2 linked regions of the Coturnix japonica genome follow. The protein of the gene in region 1 interacts with the protein of each later gene in a pairwise test. Links are inferred from orthologs where the notes say so. Each region holds a gene or a part of one and is shown on either strand. Other genes may lie near its edges. The genes, in order: RBM41 and RALYL.

Region 1 (4,311 bases):
GGGGGAAAAATGCAAAATGGGGGGGAAGGGAAGCATGAAAGAAATAACTGATAATACACATAAATAGAATCTTGGGTTATTTTTGCTGGACACAGAGCTCCTGTGCTGAACAGTGGCTGCAGCTCAGCCAGTGAGAGCAGACAACCTCCAGTATATCAGAGCCCCAGCAACTTCTGCACCCAAAGCACCACCTTAAGGCAAACGATGCTGATGCTTTAAAACATTCAAGTGTGAAAAATGATGCTTCCTTGCACACGAGTCCCTTTTCTCTCAAAGGAGCACACTGACGTGCAAATAAAGATCCAGAAATACACGATATCAGCACATCTGTTCACACAGCTTCCCCTCTTCCTCGCCACAAGGGGTTGATAACACAGACAGGTGGAGCACCCCAACGGCAGTGTGAGAACAGTGCATGAGGAGCACCCAGCACCAGCCCCCCTGAAGAGCCTCATGTACCAGCAGCACAGAGGAGAGCTGTGCTTCCTCAGCACCTTGAGGCTGCGGTCAGCCCTCACCCTGCCCTGCAGCTGCACAGAGCTGCACTCAGCTCCCACCAGTCCTCAGCAAGGCCAGCTCAGGGCCTGTTCAAGTCCACGAGCTCCTCCAGCCCTTACGTGGCAGCAGGCGGTGCTCCAGCAGAGCAGGAGGGAGCAGCAGCCTCAGCCTCTGTTGATGGCACTTTGCTTTTCCCAAATTCAATCACCATGGGCTTCCCATGCAGTTTGTACCCGTTCACCAACAGCATCGCGTCCTGAGCTGACTGAACATCTGCAAGGAGAGAGCAGAATGGTTCTCAATGCACACCGTGACGCAGCGCTGCAGCCCCCAGCCCAAGAAAGCAGCATGCAGGAAACCCAGCAGCACGTTTGGATGAGTCCTCCCCCAGCACACAGAAAATGTGAGCAGAGATGAAGGGGAGATAGGAGGAAGGGCCAGGCAGGAGGCTGAGCTCACCAGGGAAGGTGATGAAGGCCTGGCCCCGCATGCGGCCGCTCAGCAGGCGGAACTGGATGGGTGTGCTGTCCTGCTGGAACCGGGCAAACAGCGACACCAGGTCCTGCATGGTCACACGAGGGGCCAAGTTCTTCACATACAGCACCTGTTGTGGAGGCACTGGGGTCAGCCGGCCTGTGCCCGGCTAACGGGTGTACATAAACCCACTGCCAGCCCTTACACCTCACATATAGGAGCCAGCTCAGCTCTGCTACCAGCACGGAGTCCCCCACGCACGCAGGAGCTGGCACCTCCACGCAGCTGCCAGGCAGGAGCAAAGAGCCTTTCCTGGCTGGAAGATGGACAAAGCGTGGTTCATCTCCATGTACCTTGTTGGGCTCCCCAGGACGGTAGGAAGAAAAGCGAGGTATGTTGCGGAGCTCTTCCTCAGAGAGCCGGTTCCTGCAGATCTCCTCCTCTGGGATGAACTCCACAGGCTCCTTTATAGTCACAGGCCCTGGAGGGGGCTGCTGGAGCTTTGATGGAGGGCTGGGGCTCCCTGCCTGGCCTGGCTGGTCAGGAGGTGATGAGTCCTCATGGTCAGAGCCCTGCAGGGCTGGGGCAGGCAGGGAGCACACAGCACTCGTGCTTGGTTGGTCCCCTGCAGGCGGCTGCTTGCCCAGCACCTCTTGGTAAACGCTGTCCAGGTGACCCATGGGGTCCTTCTCATCTGTGACCCTTGGGGTGTCATCTAATCCACAACAGAGAGACACGGTGTGACGGTGCACTTGTCCCCCACCAGCAAAGGGGCCGCTCTGCACCTCAGGGCTCAACCCCATCCCTGCAGGTCGCAGTGGGATCCCTGCTCTGTTAAACAGCCCCAAGGGCAGAAGGGCTGGGAGCACACCTTGGTGGTACAGTGCCCGCAGGAAGGAATGCCGGTCCGTCCCCTGGAATAGAGCGTTCTCGATCTCCATCTCCCTCCTGCTCAGCTGTTTGCTGCCAGCAAACCTCTGCGGCAGCTGCAGGATGCGCTGCCTCTCGTCCATCTTCTGCTGGATGGCATCGAGTCGCTCCCGCACGGCTTCGGGGGCCGCCCCCAGCCCGGAGCGCTGCAACCAAGGGGCCGCCGTCAAACGGGCCCCGCCGCGTGGGGCGGCCGAGAGCCGAGAGGAGGCGGCTCCGCATCCGGCCGGTGTTTATGGGGCTGTCACACAGCGGAGCGGCCTCACCTTCCCCGCAGCGCGGTTCCTCCATAGCTCGATCTCGGGGTCGGACAGCCCCAGGTCCCGCAGCGCCGCGGTCTCTCTGTCGCTCTCCTGCAGCTCTCGGAACTGGGACAGGCTCAGAGCCCCGGCCGCCGCCTCCCCGAAGGGCCGGTAGAACGCGGCCGGAGCGAAGCACCTCCGCTTCGACTTACACCTGCACCGAGAGCGGAACGACCGCCGGGAGCTGAGCGGGGCTGCCGCACCATCAGCACCCCCATCCCCCGGCCGGGACCCACCGCTCGATGGAGGCGTTGGTGTCCAGCTGCTGCTGCAGGAGGCTCTTCAGCTGCCGCTCCCCCTCCGTCTCCAGCTCCTCCAGCAGCACCTCATCGCTGCACACGCTGCTGCTCACCCTGCTCGGCACGAAGCACCGCTCAGCGCTCGGCCCTGCAGCCCCCGCCCCCCCGGAGCCCCCCGCTCACCTCCGCATGGCCGCGGCCTCCAACCGGGATCCAACTCTCAGCAGCACCCGCGGCGATGGCGGCGGAGCGAGCGCCCCCTGGCGGCGGGGAGGACGAAGTGCCGCAGCGCTCGCACAGCGTTACAAGCGGGATGTTAGAGGCACAACTCATTAACCCCTCATTAAAGCCCACATGGCCGTGGTGGGAAGCTGAGGCTATCAGACTCCTCACATCTGTCAACCCTCTTCTGTAAGGACCCAGCTAACACGGAGCTGTGATTGCAAGTATCCAGCTTGCACAAAGTGCTGAGCCTGGGGCAGCAGTTGTGTGTGTGTGCAGCAGGAGGAGCCTCCACCGCCACAAAGAGTAACTTCAGCAAAAAGACATTTATTGCAATTAAAGAAGGAACATACACAAAACAAAAGATGCCGAGCAGGTCCCCGCCAACCTCTCCTCTATGGGGCTGTGAGGTAAGCGTTGTGAACTGGGAGTCCTTCAATCAAAGGTGATCCGAAAGCTGCGCTCCTGCTCCTTGCGGCGGCTCTCACAAACCTTGGTCACCTCCTCCACCTTCCTCTGCAGCAGAGCTGAGGGATGGGGAGAGAACAGGTCACACTCAGCCCCAGCCTGCGAGCAAACACCCGCCCGTTCCAACACAGACAGAATCCCAAGGCAGAGCCCTGCTGGCCTCACAGATGGCACTGCGCATCCCAGCACAGCTCTGCAGGCACTCAGTGCAGTTCCCAGGCACGGCAGCAGAGAGCAGAGCAAAGCCTGCACCAGAGCTGCAGCCCTGCAGAAAGCAGCCGCCTTCTGGAGGCATTTCCCTGCCCGCCTCACATCACACTCCAGCCGTTGGGAATTATGCAGCTTCCAGGTTAACCCATCTGGTGGGAGCGTTGTCCTGCAGGATAACAGCCACAACAAGCTTTGAACTGCAAGTATAGTAAAAAGTGCAACGAGACGGAGGAGCTACAGATGACTTCCAATCATATTATAGATGCGTGATGTCACTCTGTGGTTTGGAGATACTCCAGCTGAAGTTTTAATCCTGCAAAGCGTGCCAAACCCAGAACCTTCCAGTAACACATTAAGCAACACATTTGCTTGTCAGCTTGCAAAAAGCCACCGTGCAGAACCGGCATAAAACAGCAGCCTGATTCTGCTGCTCAACTCAGAGCTCTGCTGGAACAAAGAAACACTCCTGCTTCAATCAGGAGGAGAAAGCAGCTGGGAACAAGGCGTTATCCCAGCTCTGCTGCCAGGGAGGCCACCGTGGGGATGGAACATCAGCAGCGTGTGCTCAGCAAGTCTATTCGTGTCAGTGTAAGCAAAGCTGAACAAGCAGCATTCGTTTAACTGAAGTCCCCCCTGTTCCACTTAATGCTTGAACAAGTCAGACAAGTTAAGCACCACTTTGCACGCCTGTTCCTAGAACAGATCGTTATCACCCCGCTGCTGTAGGACACCCCTGAGGGCACCTCATGGGAAATGAAACAGAAAGCAACTATTCTCTAAGGTTCTGTACAGTCAGCGTCCTACAGGAGCTACGCCAGGCTTCACAATGAAGGCACGTCTGGAACGTGGGCGTCTGCATTTATCTTCCAGAGGAAAGGCAAATTTAATGCTGACCTAAGCTAAAAACCACCATCAGGGAAATCAAAGGTGAAGATCCCACAGTGACAGTGACGAACTCATTTCTAAGC
Region 2 (3,811 bases), on another chromosome or scaffold:
ATCACATGTATCTTTGATTTTGATAAAATATTCACGGTAGTATTGTATGTAGACACACAATGCAATCAGATCTAAATTATTCACATGTTAATATTATTCTCACCCATAGCATTACCCTTTGAATTTTTGCAGCACATTTGCACATTTGCATATAAGAGAACCCACCAGAAAACTACCTTTCTTTGTGTTAAATAAAAGTAAAAAAAAAAAAAAAAAAAAAAAAAAAGCTATGAATTTGCATTGCAAAGAAAAATTACTGAAGGAGCATTCAACATACTGTTCAAATTCAATTTAAATTAGTAGGCAAAATAAAATGAGAATTTTTAGGAAATGAAAATGAATAGTTTAGTAAGTTCTATTTAAAATGTTGAAACAATAGAGGAACTACAGAGTTTAGTTCTCTGGTGTTTTGAAAACAGTTGTGATGGCAATAATTAAAGAGATTCTTTGTTTATAATTTCCATGCAGTTTTGGAAAGGCAGATGATTTTCTTTAGATTTTTTTTCCCTTTTCATTTGTATCATCATTGTATTAGTTGTGCCCAGAAGTCTCAGCTGAGATCATGACATCTTTGTATTAGGAGCTTTATAAAAATACATGTAAAGAGCTCTTTTAGACAAAAATTCAAGTTTGAATTCTGAAAAGTGGCAAGAAAAGTATAAAACAGTGATTCACTGAGTGTCATATAGCATGTTAGTGGAAGAAAAAGAACTACAAGCCAAGCTTTTGAGACCAAAAGCCAGACATTTTCTCTGTGACTTGATAAATGTGCACAGAGAACAATAACACAGTTATGAGTAATATAATGATAACACCTTTATTTGCCAGGTCTGCATAAACACACGCAGTGCTACCCATGAGAGATTTTCCCAAAAGACTTGGCTTGTGCATAACACACTGGTGTATTTTTTTGCAATGTCAGGGTATAGCTGGTGAAAAAGGAATCCCTCATACTTGACTGCTGCAGTTTTTATCTTTGAATGCTGAACATTCATGGAGACCAAAATAGTGGATGTGAGCACGGTGAAACAGTGGGTGATATGTTTAGTCATGTCAACAGTGGCCACCACCTCTGTGACTTCTACAAGCATGGCATGCAGGCTCTTGTTCATCAGTGGTGAAAATGCATAGCTAGTGGTATAATATATATATATATATATGTATATTCAAAAGTTCAGGCATTTTTTGTCAAGGTAGTTTTCCTGGTTTTCTATGTTTAAGTCTGTGCATGTACGCAGTATATCTTGTATTTCCAGAATGTATTTCAAATTGTTAAATTTACAAGAAAACTTATTTTGGTTATACAGTGATTTCTCTGAATGTTCTAATATAAAGTAAAATATTATATTAAGAGTTTACAGAAGTAAATGGTATTTGACTTTTATAGCCTCAGTTGCATGTTCTCTTTTCAAAAAGCATTTTCTAGAACTCTGGAGAATTGCCCACATATCTCCATAGTGTGTTCTTACACAAAAGAGTGGGGTTTAAATCATGTGTTTTGGAGACAATCAAAGTACAGATAGCTATGACTACAGATGTTTTGTTCACTAGAAATTGTGTGGAGTTCAGTAACAATGGCTTCTTTTTGATTCAGTCTGGCTTAACGTTTGGTAGTTATTGATTTTAAATGTGAAATTTCTTCAAGTTAATGTCAAGCTCTGGGTGTCCAGAATAGAGTTTATTATTCGTTTTCATCTTGTGAAAAGAACTGAGCTTTAACTGTGAGAAGTATTTAACTGGTCTCTCTTCTTGCCTGAACTGTTACTGCGATATAATCAAAAGTAAGAACAATTTAAAAAATAGTAACATAAATCTTAGCTGTAAGAGATGGACTATATTTGTCTGCTGTTTGAATGGCCTCCTTCTTAAAAAATAAGTCTTCACTCTTACAAGGTGTGCATTTTTGACATGTCTGTTATCAATTATAACTGAAGAAAACCTAGCATGGGGTAATTTCACTTCTAAGTAAATTGATTTAAATGGAAGGACCACCTGGCAGGTGGAATTTACATACATGCCAACAAAATCAAATGCACTTCAAAAGACGGGGGCTAGATGAGCACAAAAAGTGTTCTTTCTTATTTAGAAAACATTTCCCCAAGAATACTGTAGCTTTTTCCATTAGAGAAATGGTAGGACCCGCATGGTTTTGTTACGTCAGAAAGAAAAGTAAAACAGCAACCAAAATTATTCATGTAATTAAGGCAATTTGTTCTTTTTTTTTTTTTTTTTTTTTTTTTAATTTTAGACATGTAAACCAGTTGTGCTTACCCTGTCTTTCTCTCTCTCTCTCTTTTTTTTTTTTTTTCTTCTTTTTTTCCCCTCACTGTATTAATAGGGAAAATTGTTCCAATGGAAACTTATTGATTGCAATAAAGAATTATATGTTACTGGTCCTACTCTCCTCATGATAGACAATGATATTTAACTGGTGAGAAATGTGCTCTGGCTAACACTTACCAAACAAAAGCAGAGAACAAAAGCAGAGTAGCCATTCATTGTTTGAGTTTGCTCTGCATGCGGCCTTGGATGTTCATTTCTTTGATATAAGATAATGACTCATTCTCTTGCTTTGTCATTTCTAGATGACTAGGTACTTAAAAAGTCAATATTGAATTTCCAAGCACAAATCCACATATGATTACTGCAGAGCTCCACTATCAGAGCATTATGTTAAGAAATGTATTGCTGTATATTATATCTATAAAATGAGAAGGTATAATTTGGTTTATTATCAAGATTTTAATATGTATTACTTAGGTTTTGTTGATAATCATTTTTTAGAATATACAACTCTTCTGAGTCTAGATAAAACTTAAGTAAAAAATGAAAAAGTGAATTATTGCTGGAAAAATCAACAGACCAGGAGTAACTGCATATTATAAAACATAATTCTCTTTGTTCTTTCTTTAAGGGTTACAGCCAAGTGATCCAGCCATGACCGGCAAAACACAGACCAGCAATGTCACCAATAAGAATGACCCAAAGTCCATCAACTCTAGAGTCTTCATTGGCAATCTGAACACAGCCATTGTCAAAAAAGGTGACATAGAAGCAATCTTTGCAAAGTATGGGAAAATAGTTGGCTGCTCTGTACACAAAGGTTATGCATTTGTACAGTACATGAGTGAGAGACATGCCAGGGCAGCAGTGGCAGGAGAGAATGCCAGGATCATCGCAGGGCAGCCACTAGGTAAGTGCTTGCTCACGTCATTTAAATACTGTTTTCTCTTTCCTTTCTGCATCATCTGCTGCTGTTGCCTTGGAGATTAGTGAGTTTGTTTTACCGTTGTTCCCTATAAGTGTATTTTTAGTATGTTGGGTTTGGCAGAATTTTAGATGTACTGTGCACTGCCTAGATACTTAGTTTTGTTTTGGGTGTTGATAATTCTCTATGTGAACTCACTGCAGTGAATATGACTAATTGGGTGAAGAATTTATAAGTGTTTTCTCTTAATCTCTGTTAGTAAATTAAATGTGATATGGTTAGAATTGACTAATAGGTGTGGCTGTTTTGCCTTTAATGAATCTAAAATAACATCTAGCCCAGTGTTGTGCAAGATTTTAGATAGAAGCAAAAGAATGAGTTTTGTTAGGCCTTGAAATCGTACCAAATCAAACTGTAATTATTCATTTCGATATTTTTACTACAGAAATCTCAGGTTGAAGTTATTCCCACATGATACTGCTCGTTTGAATTCCAAACTATATATATATATATACATATAAAGATGTAGCACTTCATTTTCTAGAACTTTATCTTGAATATTTGTGTATTTCTGTCTTTTCTTTTTGTTTGGTTTAGCCCAAC

What was found.
Region 2: the proteins of RBM41 (region 1) and RALYL interact in binary tests that used the Homo sapiens proteins (3 or more experiments, as listed by UniProt). The two-hybrid records come from large-scale screens. The link is inferred for Coturnix japonica from reciprocal best matches to the Homo sapiens genes RBM41 and RALYL.

Annotation. Positions count from the first base shown.
Region 1 is NC_029519.1:1,848,321-1,852,631, forward strand, and holds RBM41 (RNA-binding protein 41), read right to left. Parts: upstream 2,882-4,311; 5' UTR 2,635-2,881; coding exon 2,627-2,634; intron 2,558-2,626; coding exon 2,441-2,557; intron 2,359-2,440; coding exon 2,169-2,358; intron 2,049-2,168; coding exon 1,844-2,048; intron 1,688-1,843; coding exon 1,326-1,687; intron 1,103-1,325; coding exon 958-1,102; intron 772-957; coding exon 614-771; 3' UTR 65-613; downstream 1-64. Other genes in the region: NUP62CL (nucleoporin-62 C-terminal-like protein), read right to left, coding at 3,101-3,192. UniProt on the Homo sapiens protein: May bind RNA.
Region 2 is NC_029517.1:110,838,410-110,842,220, forward strand, and holds part of RALYL (RNA-binding Raly-like protein), read left to right. Parts: intron 1-2,914; 5' UTR 2,915-2,937; coding exon 2,938-3,193; intron 3,194-3,811.